2 linked regions of the Lepisosteus oculatus genome follow. The protein of the gene in region 1 purifies or fractionates together with the protein of each later gene. This does not show direct contact. Links are inferred from orthologs where the notes say so. Each region holds a gene or a part of one and is shown on either strand. Other genes may lie near its edges.

The links. Proteins that work in one complex are often made in the same cells at the same time.
Region 2: the proteins of gli3 (region 1) and F-box/WD repeat-containing protein 1A purify together in Homo sapiens (affinity purification with western blotting, with the first as the bait; 3 studies listed by BioGRID). This does not show direct contact. The link is inferred for Lepisosteus oculatus from reciprocal best matches to the Homo sapiens genes GLI3 and BTRC.

What each region holds. Positions count from the first base shown.
Region 1 is NC_090701.1:16,241,736-16,249,021, forward strand, and holds the start of gli3 (transcriptional activator GLI3), read left to right. Parts: upstream 1-4,273; 5' UTR 4,274-4,656; intron 4,657-7,286. UniProt on the Homo sapiens protein: Has a dual function as a transcriptional activator and a repressor of the sonic hedgehog (Shh) pathway, and plays a role in limb development.
Region 2 is NC_090699.1:35,670,881-35,677,958, forward strand, and holds the start of F-box/WD repeat-containing protein 1A, read left to right. Parts: upstream 1-4,063; 5' UTR 4,064-4,171; coding exon 4,172-4,216; intron 4,217-4,843; exon of another isoform or gene 4,844-4,883; intron 4,884-7,078. UniProt on the Homo sapiens protein: Substrate recognition component of a SCF (SKP1-CUL1-F-box protein) E3 ubiquitin-protein ligase complex which mediates the ubiquitination and subsequent proteasomal degradation of target proteins. Recognizes and binds to phosphorylated target proteins.

The DNA.
Region 1 (7,286 bases):
TATCTTTTTAATGTTTGCACTTTTATAGAGTATCATGTTTCATTCTGAACATTTATCTTGAATCTTTAGTCTGGTCCTCACCACTTTACTTTATTTTGATTTCTCGAAAATCTGGTTTTTGAAACCTGACACCTCACTGAATACAGCATTCCCACAGAACGCTAGCTATTCCTTTCCTAGAGGGAACTTTCTCTGCCCTCTGTCCTTATTCTTCCTGAGGACAAAACATTTGGGTCCATAATGAAGTCCGATCTATAAAAGTGATCAGGACCTTAACTGTTGTTTGAACTGATGTTTGAACCATGTGACAGACTGCAAAACATTTTCTGTTTGAACATGATAACTGCCAAAAGTGGACCAATCAATTCAAGTGACTGAAGCAACGAACAGCACAAAATCATACTTAAGAATACATTAGTTTTTAATAAATTTTAAATGATAGTATATAGTATATTCAAGAAAAGACAAAGATTCAGTAGGGATTTTGGTATAATTCATGTGTCTAAATGTATCTGCATAGTACTCACTCTTGTCTTGTAGTTTTTAAATGTTCAGTCCCCTGAAGCACTAAAGATGTTACATTATGTCCTACAAAGTGTTTAGTAACTGTCAACATCCATATCTGAGGGTCCAGTACTACTGTTATTATGCTGCTTATACAGTATCTTTCAGTGATTATTTTTTACAGCATAAAATCATCCTGCAAGAAAATGTAAGTACAGAAAGAAGAAAATTTGGGATTCCAAGCGATTTAAACCCTCACCCTTCAACTTTTTCTGAGGAGCAGAAATAAACTTTTTATTTTTGTGTATCACTCTGCATGCCATCTCTGCAGTTGAACACAAGCTCTGTGAGCTAACAAGCTAATCCCTAATATTTTCTCCTCTCTGAAATGTAACGCTTGATGCTGTTTGTAAGATTGATTTACTGATGGATCAACATATAATATATAATATTCCCACATGTTTTTTGCGCCTTTACATTTTAAGCTGTGACAAGAACCAGTTCTAAGTCTTTGAAATAGATGACATTTTGAAGATTATCTCACTGCAGATTCAATTCTCTTTTAATCCAATCATATTTGCTGTTCAGCAACCCTTTTCAAAGTGCTATTGGTGTTAAAAAATAGGATTTGCTCCCTTGATTCCAATATTTTGATGTTGAGGAAGGACAACTCACACATTAGTGACATTCTTTATTATTTCAATTGAAATAATTTAATAATTAGATAAAAATAACGTTATTAAATTTAAAAGGAATTCCTAATTTATATAAAAACACACATTTTCTGTATAAGTAGACACTTTGTATCAACTGATTTCTCATGAATGTCTTCATTTTGGAATGGCAGTCAGGTGGGATAGAGAATTTGAGGTCTTCTTAAACAAATGCACAGGAGAGTACTAGAACTGTATTCTATGCAAGATGTTTTTGCTCCTTCTTGACAGGACATTGAGAAATCCCTGGCCCATTTTTCAGAAACATTAAAGCCGGTGTGCGTGAAACAGGACTGTGGAATGAATATGAAAAATTCCCACTATCTATCCCAACAGCCTGTCAGAGAAATAGTTTGGACTCTCTGAGGAAGACTGCAGCAACAGAGGGTCGAGAGACTTTGCTAGCCTGAGTAAGTATTGGGATAAACTGATCTCTGGGAAATACCAGGTAGTAACAGCCATTGACAAGCTGAACTTGACTGAACTCAAGTAGAGGTGGATGATGTCACCTTCAGTATGCCCCTTCTTATGTCTTGCATGTCAGTTCCTAATACCCCAACTTCCCACATTGTTACTGCTTTGATCTTCTTGGACAGTGGAGGAAGCCTGCTTGTTAAGGGGGATAAATACTGTATGTGGACTGTATGTTCCCATTGAAACAAATGACAAAAGAGAGAGTGGCAGAGGAAAGTCCTGAAGCATCAGTAAATAGTATTAATCCTTCATTCTAGATGGGGGAAGATACTGCATGCAGGCAAAGATTATCTGACAAAAGCTATAAAGCTTTTTACACTTCCTTCTAGACTGCATCTTCTCTATATGAGTTCTTATTTTTTCCCTTTAATTTCATTAGTTGGGGAACTTTCTTAAATTCCAAAATAATACATAACCCTTAAAATTGCTCTTAAACAAAATGAATAAAAAAGAGGACTTAGATTTAAGAAAATATAAGATAGGTACAAAGGCAAGGAGGAAAAAAAAAGAGGACCTGAGATTCACAGTTTGTGAGAAACGTACCAGGCTAAATAGTGAATAATAGAAGACTAATGTATCAACAGACCCAAGCAATATTTAAAAGGAAATGAGTGATGCAAAGGCATATTTGTTCACATTTCAGATTTTGACAGTTACACATTTAATTTCACTTTGTTAATGTGTATTCTAGCACATTTCACGAGGAATGACAACGCCCCAAAATCAAAGCGTGGCGAACTATTGTGGAGTGAATATTTGACTCAACCCGCTTGGCTAAAGCCAACCTCCTGGCCATAGGACGAGGAGGTTAGGACCCCCACGCAGGGTGACCAAGGGGCAGCTGCAGAGGTGGGATGAAAAAGTCGCACGCAAGGGAGAGAGAGATAACGCATTTAGTAGTAATAGTGTTCGGTGGAGAAAGGACTAAGGGAGTGATTGCAAATTGCTGACAGCTCGGGATGATAGTGTGGTTGTTGTCACCCCTCCCGAACTTTAGTTTAATAAACTCCATTAGAGGATTTTAATGACCAGAATATTATTTAAGATGGAGAAGACTGAGTTTACTGGCTTGAAACTGACATATTTGCTTGACTAGGATATTCTTGAAATAGGTGGGGAATGTCGAATGACAGTGAGTACTGTAATATATTGACAGAAGAGCATGTATACTTCTCTGTTACAAAAGTAAAATTCTTCATGAACATATTTTGACTAGGTACTATGTAACATTTATTTTCTAGTGGATATGAAGTTATATTATACTGTTCTTCATCTAATACATAAATGTGAACTGGAACAAGGCATCAACATGTGCAGAGGTTAGTGTTGCTGCCTTGCAGTGCTGGGGCCCTGAGTTCAATTCTGAACTTGGGGTGCTGTCTGCATGGAGTTTTTATGTTTGCCCCGTGTTCATGTGGGTTTCCTCCAGGTGTTCCAGTTTCCTGCCACAGTCCAAAGACATACTGGGAGGTTAATTGGCTTCAGAGGAAATTGACCACAGTGTGAGTGTGTGTGTGTATATTTGTGCATGCAGTGTGATGGAATGGTGTCCATCCTTGTGCTTATTGCTTGCTGGGAAAGACCCTGGCTCCCACACAACACTATTGGATAAAGAGGTTAGAGAATGGATGAATGTTAGAAATGGACGGGTCACATGAAAATAATCTGAAACTATCCAGATAAAAACGAGCATTGAGGGAGTGGGGCAGCATGATCCTAGGTCCTTATGTGGGGAGTTTGCATGCTCTTCAAGGGGTCCTTTGGTTTTCTTATTGGTGCTCCGGTTTCCTTCACCTCCCATAGACATGGTGGCTAGTTTAATCTGAGTCTTAACTGTCCCCGTGTCTTTGTCCTGTGATGTGGGAGATCCTATCCAGTCCTGTCTTGCTCCCTATACTCCCTGAATAGGCTCCGGGTTGCTGTGACCCTTACCTGCCGCATGAGAAGTTTGCCAATAATGGAGGGACTTCATGATTCAGAAAGGATAGAAATGTGAAAAAATGTAGCTATCATGGTACAAAAGTATTTCTTAAATGTCACATTATTCTCACAGAATATTTTGCTTGAATTGTGGCTTTTGAATAGATTTCAAAATACTAGCATTCAGCTACACATTTTTGGGGGGTTTTTGCTTTACATTAAGTGGCTTTCCTTATCCTGAAATTTCTGTCGCTTACAAATGCTGTGAAGATTTGGAAGCTCATTTGTCCGTGTTATGGATTTTCATCATACATTCCCCGTGCTTCTTTGTAAACCGTTCTCTTTTTTACACCTTTAGCATCTTCGCCCTTCCAGTTATTTTATTTCCCAGCTTGTCAAAAACGTGGAGAGACATTATAACACGCAGCACAAGCCCTCCGCGCTATCACCAACCGATGAGGTTACTTTTTAAGTACACTAAGAAAGTGTACTGCTATTTTTCCCCCCCAGCGAGACCTCCAATTCGTACTCCACCACCTCTGTGGCTCTGAAGTCAGCGCTAAAAGAGTGGCACAAGAAATCCCAGTGCGGAGTGATCAAACCATCTCCGAGGCAGTGCTGTGATTGCTAAGAGGCGGCGGGATCGGGAGAGAGAGAGGGAGAGGGAAGAGAAAGAGAGTGCGATCCGAAGGGAGGAGTCGTGGAGCGGAGAGCAGCTGGAGTTGCCTCTTCTCAACTAAATTTACACTGAATACAGTAACACTCAACCACGAGATTAATACTTTCTCTCAGACAGACTGTAGTTTTTACAGGTATGTAGGCACTTTTTAAGAGGCTAGTTAGGTGCATACTGTTTAGTTTAGTGCAGAAAGGAGAAAAAAGTTTTCTTGTTGAGCGCTTTTCAGAAAGTGAAGCTTGAGAAAAAGAGCGCATGATTCTTGGCTAAGCGAAAACTGAAGAAACATCTGCAACCAGACAAAAAAAAAGATTCAATTGGGAAAAAAAAGATCCAAGAAGCAGCCTGGAAAAAGGAGCTTTCAGACACGTAAGTACAAGAAACTAAAAGAAGCGTGATGAATTTTGAGCTTCTTTTGAACTGCATAGCCCTGGCAGCTTATGAAAGTTTGAAAAAAAGAATGTCTGTTGCAGTCTGTCAGAGGGATCAAATTACAATTTAGTAAAAGTCTGCAAAATTTGCTGAAAAAATCCGAGACTGAGAAAAGTGAAAAAAAGATTCTTCTCGTTCTGCCACCTCTTAAAACAACACAAAAGATGAGCATTTAAAGCATGAAAGTTTAACATATTTAAATAATAACTTATTACTGAGATTCCTCTTTTTTGAAGGGGGTTGTCTAAGCAATGGAAAAGCGCTTGTTCTACCATTTTCAATACTGGCATTTTTGAAAAAATTCTAAACTTGTTGGATAGGCGATCTCTTTGCTTTTATTGTTTGCTGGTTACTGTAATCTGGTAGAAGTCTATGAAGCGCGTCGGAGGCAAGTGTAATTTATAAACTATTTCTGGCGATTAAACGAAACATTACTGTTTATTTTTTTATAAAAAGATACCGTATAAAGCTTACGATTCGTTGTTAATGCAACATTCGTGTGTGGTTTAAAAAACACAAAACTGTTTAATGAATGTAACGTGTGATTTAGAAATGTATTATAGAGTGCTGCATCCTCTCAACTTTTTAGTTTTTTTTTCCATTCGCGAAGAAGTGATCATTATCGATTGACTATACTCTGCTTATAACGTATTAATTCCTTTTTGCAGTGATGTAAAAAATACGACTGAACAGCAAAGCCAATGAAGTTAAGTGAGTCATATATAGAGATTTTATGGAATAGCTCTCAAAAACTACACATAAATTGCTTACACAAGAATTGGTGGTATCTTTTGCGAAACATTTTCCTACAGACTATTAACAATGAAGAGCTATAGCAATGCACTGTCGAATTTGTTTGTTCATCAAACTTTGCATTTAGTTTAAGCAGATTTCATTTAAAATGTGCATTTCGCCTTCTAGTTTGCTTTCAAATGGCAGCTTGCCATCACATGTGTGGAAATTTGTTTAAAACTTTCCCTTTTAGTTCTCTGCCAGCTCTTTCAAGGTTTTCACTGGTTGTGAGATTAAGTCTATTGGATTGGTAGATCATACACATTCGGTTTTCATTCAGATTCCCTTCAGACTATCCAAAGTGACAAGTTTCAGAGCACACATCAAACCAAAGGGGCCTAAATTCTGCCGTGTAGCGTTTTGTTGTGCAAGTATTTCACGCAAGTTCCTTACCTTCTGAATCTAAAAAAAGCCGAACAAAATAAGTGCTTAATGAGGCTTTGTTAATTTTTGTTAGTTTTAAACATGCCCCAAAAGTTGCATTTAATTAAAATTCCAATATATGACTTTTTTGAGAATTAATAGCCCAGTTATATTTTCTTCTCTATATCAAGGGCAGAAATCGTACGAGTTAAAAGGTGCATATTCAGATATTAGTATTAACTGTCACTTTATGAATAATTTACTAATTTTAAAAGTTCCATTACATATGGCGGCACAGGACAATTACTCTTAAAAGCAACAGCCATGTTAAAACTTTTCGATTGCAGATCTGTTGTTTAAAAACCGAACAACCCAAAAAATGTGTATTATGAATATGCTCAAAGAACAAAATAGTCTAAAATATTTTTCGGAAGATGACTTATTTGTCATGATTATATATAACAATTAAAATAATCTTGAATATATATTAATATTTAAGGTTATATTGTTTTTAAGACATGAGCAATATATTAATTGTGCGAGAATGTTTTCTGTGTATATAAGTCCCGTGAGTAGCACTCCAGTTTATTCATGTAAAATTATTTAAATACCCATCAAAATGTAGGTAATGACTGTTAAGCTCCCACATTTAATTATGTATTTTTTACCAAGTATTTAATAAAAATGGTGATTTCAACATTATGATTGTGTAAAAGAAGCACATGAAGTGGAATTTTGATCTGATTATTAAATATTATGTACTTATTTAAATCATATAAGGAAAAGGGCTGATATTTATATGTTGCTTATCCAGTGTATGGAAAAAATGATTTTTGAATTAAATTAGAATAATCGTTTTTTGACCAATAGAAGCTTGTTGGAATAAAACAATTTAATGTATCATTCTCGTTTTTAGAACAGTTGCTGAAAATGTTAGAAGGAACAATAGCATTTTTTACCTCCTCCCCAGAAAACCACCACAAAGGAAAAATATATATGGCACAAAAAAAGTTTATGAACTAACAATCTAAGATTTTTTTATTTTTTATAAATATGGTGTTAATGGCCAGTACACAAACACTCATTTCATCTATAGGGCATACAAGATGCATTTTTTTATTTTTGAGTATCAGGTGACAATAATTGGGACTTTATCTTAAAAACCATCTATTTTTGCATTTAGATATGCAGGGCTGTTGTGTACCAAGATGCAAGGGTGAACTGAAAGGTTTTCACATCCTTTGGAAAACCTTTTTGAGAGATTGGGAGTGCTTTTGGATTATTATTTTTTTCTTTAGGGAGCTGAAATAAATCACTACTTTTGGAATATTTAACTGCGCTTTTTAGCCAACAGCTCTGTGTATAAGAAAGCTTACTATTTAAAACCGATGCTCAAGAATTCTGGACTCATT
Region 2 (7,078 bases), on another chromosome or scaffold:
TTTTTATTTATTTTTTCACTAAAGTACTAAAGAAACGCAGGGCAGGCCTGCTTTTTCTGTGGCCTGGTATTAGTTAATTGTACATTTATGGCTGTATTTCCAACCATGGATAAAAACCAACTAGTTTGCAACATTCCCAAACTACACACTGCACATCCAATCACAGGACCATATCCTACATAGCCCTTTTCAACAGAATATTTGTAAAATATGTCATGTTCTTTTCTGTCCCTAAATCCTGGGAAGTAAAACAGTTTACACCAAGGGAATTGAGGGGAAAAAAAAGCAAAGGACCAGACATTTATTCCATCCTTTTTGTGTGTAGAAAGTATATGTATATAATTTACAATTCACTACTCATCTTTAATCTAAAGTATGGTATAAGACTCTATTATGTTAAATTATGCAAAACATAGCCCATGTGAAATTAGTTGAAAGGCTCATTTTCTGCTGGCTCCTGCGGTGAGGTGATTGCCTAACAAATTACATTTCAGTTCAAATTTACAATTCATCCATGAGAGCAAGAGAAAGATATTCTGAGCATCACAACTAGACACATGAAGCTGAGGACTGTCCACATTTATTTCCTCCTGGAAATTTACACCCCTGTATATATCCATGACTCATGGAGTTACAGACATACTGTATGTTATCCATTTTTTTTTCCTTTTATTTATATCCTTATATTTATATCCTTTTATTTCTTTATTTTCATGATGTTTTTTATTCTGCTTAGATTGCTATTTGCTGTGCTAGCTACCCTTTCCAGAAAAAATAACTTCAGATAGAACTTTTCTGAAAACATAATGCAATGAAGTCCAGTCTTGTACTGAATTAATGGAGCAATTCTGAACTTAATTATGAGTATCATACTTTAAATAATTCTGTCATCTAGAAATTGAGCAAAAATATACAGTAATTAAGGCAAACACTTCTCATCTTAGATATGACTGTAGAAAACATGTCCTGTTTCAAAATGTCCTAAGATTGGTGGGCCTTCTGGAAAACCCTTGTCTTCAAGAACCCGTCCTTACTGGGATAGTCACTTAATGGCAAAAACAAACATGTAGATAGAAACCCCAGCAGGTTGCTCCCACAACAAGGCACAAAACAAGTCAGGATGAATATAGCAGGAAGGGGAAGTTGATTCAAACTGGTCCTTTAAAGAATTCAAGAAACACTATATGTTTCACATTGGCACAGAATACCCTCCAGCTATGCATTGCTGCACTCTAGAATAAACTCGTAAGTACAGAAAAAAATGTATATTTTATACTTGGTGCTCATTGTGTTAAGAAAAAAAAAGCAGCCAGAAAAAAACTTCACTATTTGTCTGTTAAAAATTAATAGGCTGCTTGCCTATGCATATGATAAAGAGATCAGCTGTCAATTGAGTTATTGTATTTTTACAGTTCTTGGTCCATGAGTTCTCATTTCTATGCAAAGGAGCCATTAGTCATAGCTGTGTTCCCGCACAGTGTCTGCTGTACAATCGGATTCTTACAGAGGATGAATCTTCCAGTCCAGCAGCCTGGCAATAAATAATCCTTTCTTCTGCTGACATAAATCAAGAGAAATCATACACCTCATTTTGTTGATTCTTCTATAAATCTGTCAATTGTTCATGGGAGCTATGATTGCATATTCATGAACACTGTTGAAAAGTTTAATCATTTATTATTATTAACAATAATTAATGTGCACAAAGATTTATTTATAATTACTTTGTTTTGGAATATAGTTTAAATGACAAATGCAAGCTGGATATGCCCACAACATGGATCATAATAATGAAAAGGCAATAAAGGGAATAGTCCTTAATATCTATACTGCACCTATGAATAAGAAAAGAAGTAAAAGAAAGGATATATTACTAAAATATTACTAAATGTACTAAAGCATAGATTTAGCAAGAGAACAATGCTTTAATACCAACCTGAACAATCTACATCAATGTTACCACTGCAACCACAGCCATGCTTACTACTATAATACTAGAGCCTGTACTATTACAAATGATGGTCATTGTAACAATAATGCAGCTCTGACCTGGAAATCCTTGTCACTTCTTGACTTTCTCGGTGGTGACACGAGCTACTTGTGCTAGGATAGAGGATCAGATGGGCATACTATTTAAATGGTATACAACAGTTACGGCTTTAATTGTTAATGATACATTGGAAAAACATCTGAAAGGCTATTGATAAGAAGTGTTGAGGTACGGTCACACAGCGGCAACCCCAAACAACTAGAAACTATATGGACGATGGTTTGATCTGCTAGGAAGTTGTTTGGATTGGTATTTTGTTCTCTGATTTTATCTGTCAATAGTACATGAGCCTGTTGACAGTAATAAGACAGTTTCAAAACAGCAAGCCTAGAATCTGCGCATGAAATAATTTTATCTTATGATGTAGCAGAAATCTAGTCAAGGTGTTTGAATTTAAGACCCCATACATACTGTAGTTGCACACTGAAGAGCTCATACTGGCCTTGTCTCAGTGCCTGTCTGATTTTAGTCAAACTTTAAAAGTGGACTACCTTTATTTTGTAGCTTTGCCTTAAGCTGTCCCACTGGTCCTATTTTACCACCACAAAATTCCAGGACTGACTTACTAAGGTTCACGTTTGCTAAAATATCATATCAAATGTAATAAATTGTATTTATTTTCAGTAGAAACACAACCATAAATAGCAAAGTTTCCATACATTACTGGAAACCTTTCTTTCCAGGACACCAGAGTTGCAGCCACAGTGTATTAGCTGTGCTTTTAACATTATCATTGGGTTCAAATTCAGACATCTACTAATTAAAGCAATATACAGTACGACTAATAATAATAATGCAATTAATTGAACACCATCTTATGTACTATTCACCTAACTTCATGTAATATCTTTACTAATAACTGAAATTATAATAGTGCTATCACTGTAATGTCAAACTGTATATTTGGAGTTCCATCTATTCTTGATCAAGGAGCACCTTATTCCTAAGGGCTGCTTGGAGTTATCCTGAAAACAGTGCACAACGCAGTACTACTCTCTAGACTGGACACCAGTCTCAGAGCACAGACACACATTCACAGGTGCAGCTACAGTTTAAAGACAGCAATTAACCTGGCCACCATGTCTTTGGCAGGTGGGAGGAAACTAGAACACCCAGGAAAAGCAGACATTAAAATTGAGAGAGCATGAAACGAATCCGGGATACAAACGACGTGAAGCAATATTTTATGTGTTTTTTTTTAAATAACAATGAATTAAAATTAATAATAAAGCAATTTTACAGTTCATAATAATACAGCTTTAACATCGCACTTAGTATACAGCACATCATAAAAGCATATTATGGCATACCATAGCAGAACCAGATCAAAAGAGCATTGCAGCATAGAACAAGAATCCATGGAGAATAAAAGTAGAAATTAAAATAAAGAATGGTTAAATGACCGGAAAACCTAATCCGTATACGATACTACGCAGACGTTCAGAATGGAATTTGCACATTAACTATTCACTTCTTGGGTAGTTATCAATACACGTATTTATTATGTAATCAGTACACATGATAGAATATACACATGTGCTGTGCTGTCATATATAACACCACTGGATAATTCCACGATTGTGTCCACTTCTATATATGACAAACTGGATATGGCCAAACCAGTGTTTAATGTTTCTTTTTTTAATTGTTCCATATTAAATCAAATATCGCTTGTATGTAAAACACGAGACATACTACAATAGCAGAATTATCGCATTTCAGCTTTAAAAAAAAATAATATTAGATTAAAATATGTATCCAGTTATTATACTAAATGCGTAACTAACCGACAAAACAAAAGATCGAAAAACTACACATCCCAGAGTAACGCACTCGCTTAGTGGGATTTGTAGTACGTAAAGGCTTATTGTAAATAAAACAGGAACTACCAGAATGCATCAAAGGCTTTTATAGCGCAACTGGGACTTGTAGTGTTTGAGATATGAGCATACACAATATTTAGGGTTGAAGAAACTTCAAACCCCACAATTCTGTTTCAGCCGTGCAGCCTGGGCCGCTGGGGGGTGAGTGCCGTGGAACGGATTTTCCTGTCTGCAGCAGCGGCAGTGGAGAGACGCAGGTCCCGGGGCTGAGAGAGAACCAGTCCCGGACAGACTGACGATGGAACCAGAGACGGTACTGCAAGAGAAGGCTCTGAAGTTTATGGTGAGGAGATGACAGGGCAAAGTCGGTTTCTGACACTCGACAGAACCCAAATGAGATGAAGGTTTGGGCTTGTCCATAGCGGTTTGTGCTGGAAATGAATGTACCGGTGGGTCAAGCCGCCATCTTGGACTATGATAAATAAACAGACAAAATAAACTTACGTTTATTTATTGAAAAAAATCCGTAAGCTAAATGAGATCTTTTCAGGGAAGAGAATATAATGAATATTATGTGTTGGTGTGTTGATCTTGATAGTTGTTTGCTTGAAGTAATCGATGTGTTTTTCTGCCCAGTGGATGTTTAGCTTTGGCCTGTGTTTACATTATGCTTGATTCGGTGCGCTTGAATTTATGTTACGTCAACTAATATTTGTATCAATTTTATTGAAGTGTACTTTAATTGAGGTGTAGACTATACTCTTATATTAGCTTTTTAGATGTTGGATATAGTGTCTTTCATATAGGCCATTTTTGTTAGGTTTTACTGGTGGATGTATTTCATATTTTTCCTTGACGTGTCCTGTGTTGTGTTTCAGCACAAGTGGTCACGTATAATTAAGTCTTAATGTTGTCTGTGTTGAATATAAACTACAGATACGCTCTTTTAATTGATGGTTTTGTCCTTCAGATATCTTGAACAGTGAGGTTTCATCTTGAAATAATTACAGGTTAGTGTGGATTATATTGAATTCTGACATAAAATGAGAATTCAATGTAATTCAGAATTGTAATCCACACCACACTTCAAAAGACTGCCAACACTTAAATACTTACCTTTGGTATTAAAGAGTAGTTCAATGCACAGATTTGGCTTTGCAAGTGGGCTTACCCCTTTAAAAAACAAATATTATTCATATTCATAGTCTAAATAAACATTATTTATATGTATAGTGTAAATATAAGATATTTGCATATGTGATATGGTTTAAGGTACATTAACTTGGCATGCACCACTAAAAATATTAATTCCCAGATTTTGTAGACTTTGTAAGAGGTTTCTTTTCATCTCAGTAGTGTTTGTATTTATATTGAGTTCTTCTGACTCAGACTGAGTATTTACAGTACTGAATTCTCACTTGTCAGGTTCAGTCCACAACTCATTACAGCTGTGTTTGTTTGCCCTATTGTTGGATGGTCCTCTCAGGCTTCCAGGCAACATTACTGGACACTTATTGTTATTGTTCTGCTTGTTTTATTCATCTACCAACATTTCCAAATGTGTAGAAAATCATTATTGTTTAACAAAAATGAATGAACTTTCAAAGGATTGTGATGGCCTATCAGAAATTGTTTTGGTGAAAGTGAGACTGAGAAGTCACAATGTCTGGCTGCCCAATGGCTTGCACAGTGTGAGATGTGCAATAAATGTTTGACATCTTTCAAACGGTTTGGCCTACTGGAATGAGATTTGGTATAACTACATAAGTCAGGCCAGGTTCCCTTCTCAAGGTTGTTCAGGTTGCTACATTCAAGAACATGGTCACTGTAAAATCAGCTGCTTGTGAAAAACGTTTCTTCAGAAACATTGGGTAAGTGCAAATCTGATAAACATTGTCAGGATGATTATAATTTGGTTAGAACAGCACTCCTGTCTTAGCCTTCTTGACTTTCTGAATATTATTTAGTTGTCTTGTCAAAACACAGACTGTTTCTGAGCAAACACTTGGGCATTTAATTCAGTAGACTCAGTAGATGTTACTGGCCCACGAATACAGTTAACATGCTGAAAGCAGGTTCTCATTTAAACCAAGATGGCTGCCTGACCGCCATTTTGTTTTCCAACATCAGCATACTGTTTTGTCAATAAAGAATTGTCATTTTTTTCCTGAAGCTTGGAAACCGTCTCTTTCTGGGGGAAATGCTGCACAGATTGAATTGAAACATGACATGGTTTATTACGCTGACATCTCCTTCAGTCTTGCACCTAGTGCATTGCAGCAGTAGTTCATCACCTGTTTGGTGAATTGGTGCCTTGTAGTGCTGTTTTTCTTCCAAGAATTTGCCAGTGAAAACCTGTTGTATATCATTGTAATGACGTTGCTGTTAAGAGTATAGCAAATTAGGATCCCTTCATACATCAGGATGCCAATTACTTTGTTGTTTTGTTGGTGTGTGTCCTGTACCACAGATTGTACTATTGGCCATTTAACTCCAATTCTGGTAGACATTTCTCAGATGGCAGTGTTTAATTTTTGGAATGTGGGATCCTTGTAGAAACCAAATTACTTGCCTAGCTTCCATTTTTTTCTGGATCTTTAAAATTGCCTGTCTTGGGGGAGCTCTGTGCTAATTGAAATTTAGCCTGTCTTATTTACATGTAAACCAGCTTCAGACTGCTTTGTTGAGGTTTTGGTTTATATGCCCACGCCAGGTATTCGTGTCCTTGGTGAATCATGTCCTGTAACAAAAACATCTTAGTATGTATCATTCTAGTGGCTGCATAATTATGATAATGCAGAATGCCATTTCTCTGCAAGCCATGGTTCGAAATTTCCTTTTGATATTTTTAAGTGGAGTATACTGCATACTGCTGCTGTCGAAAACTTGTATTTTATGACATGGGGGCTAGCTTGAAAGCCTGTCAAGCTGAATGTGGTTTTGTAATTGTATTTTCCTTGAGAACTCAGTCTATTGATGGTACAGTTAGTGTCTGATACAATATCATCTTTAAGGCATAAGCCAAAAATGAACCAGCACCTTATTGACAAAAACAATAATTTCACAGTACAGTGTACTTCTAATGTGCAGTGCTGCCTCTTGTATCCAGTCTGTACTTTTCAATTGCTGTCCGATTTCTGAGAAGTTGTAATTTATTATGCAGTACATAACAGAAATACACCACTTTAGTCGTGCTGATGTTTGA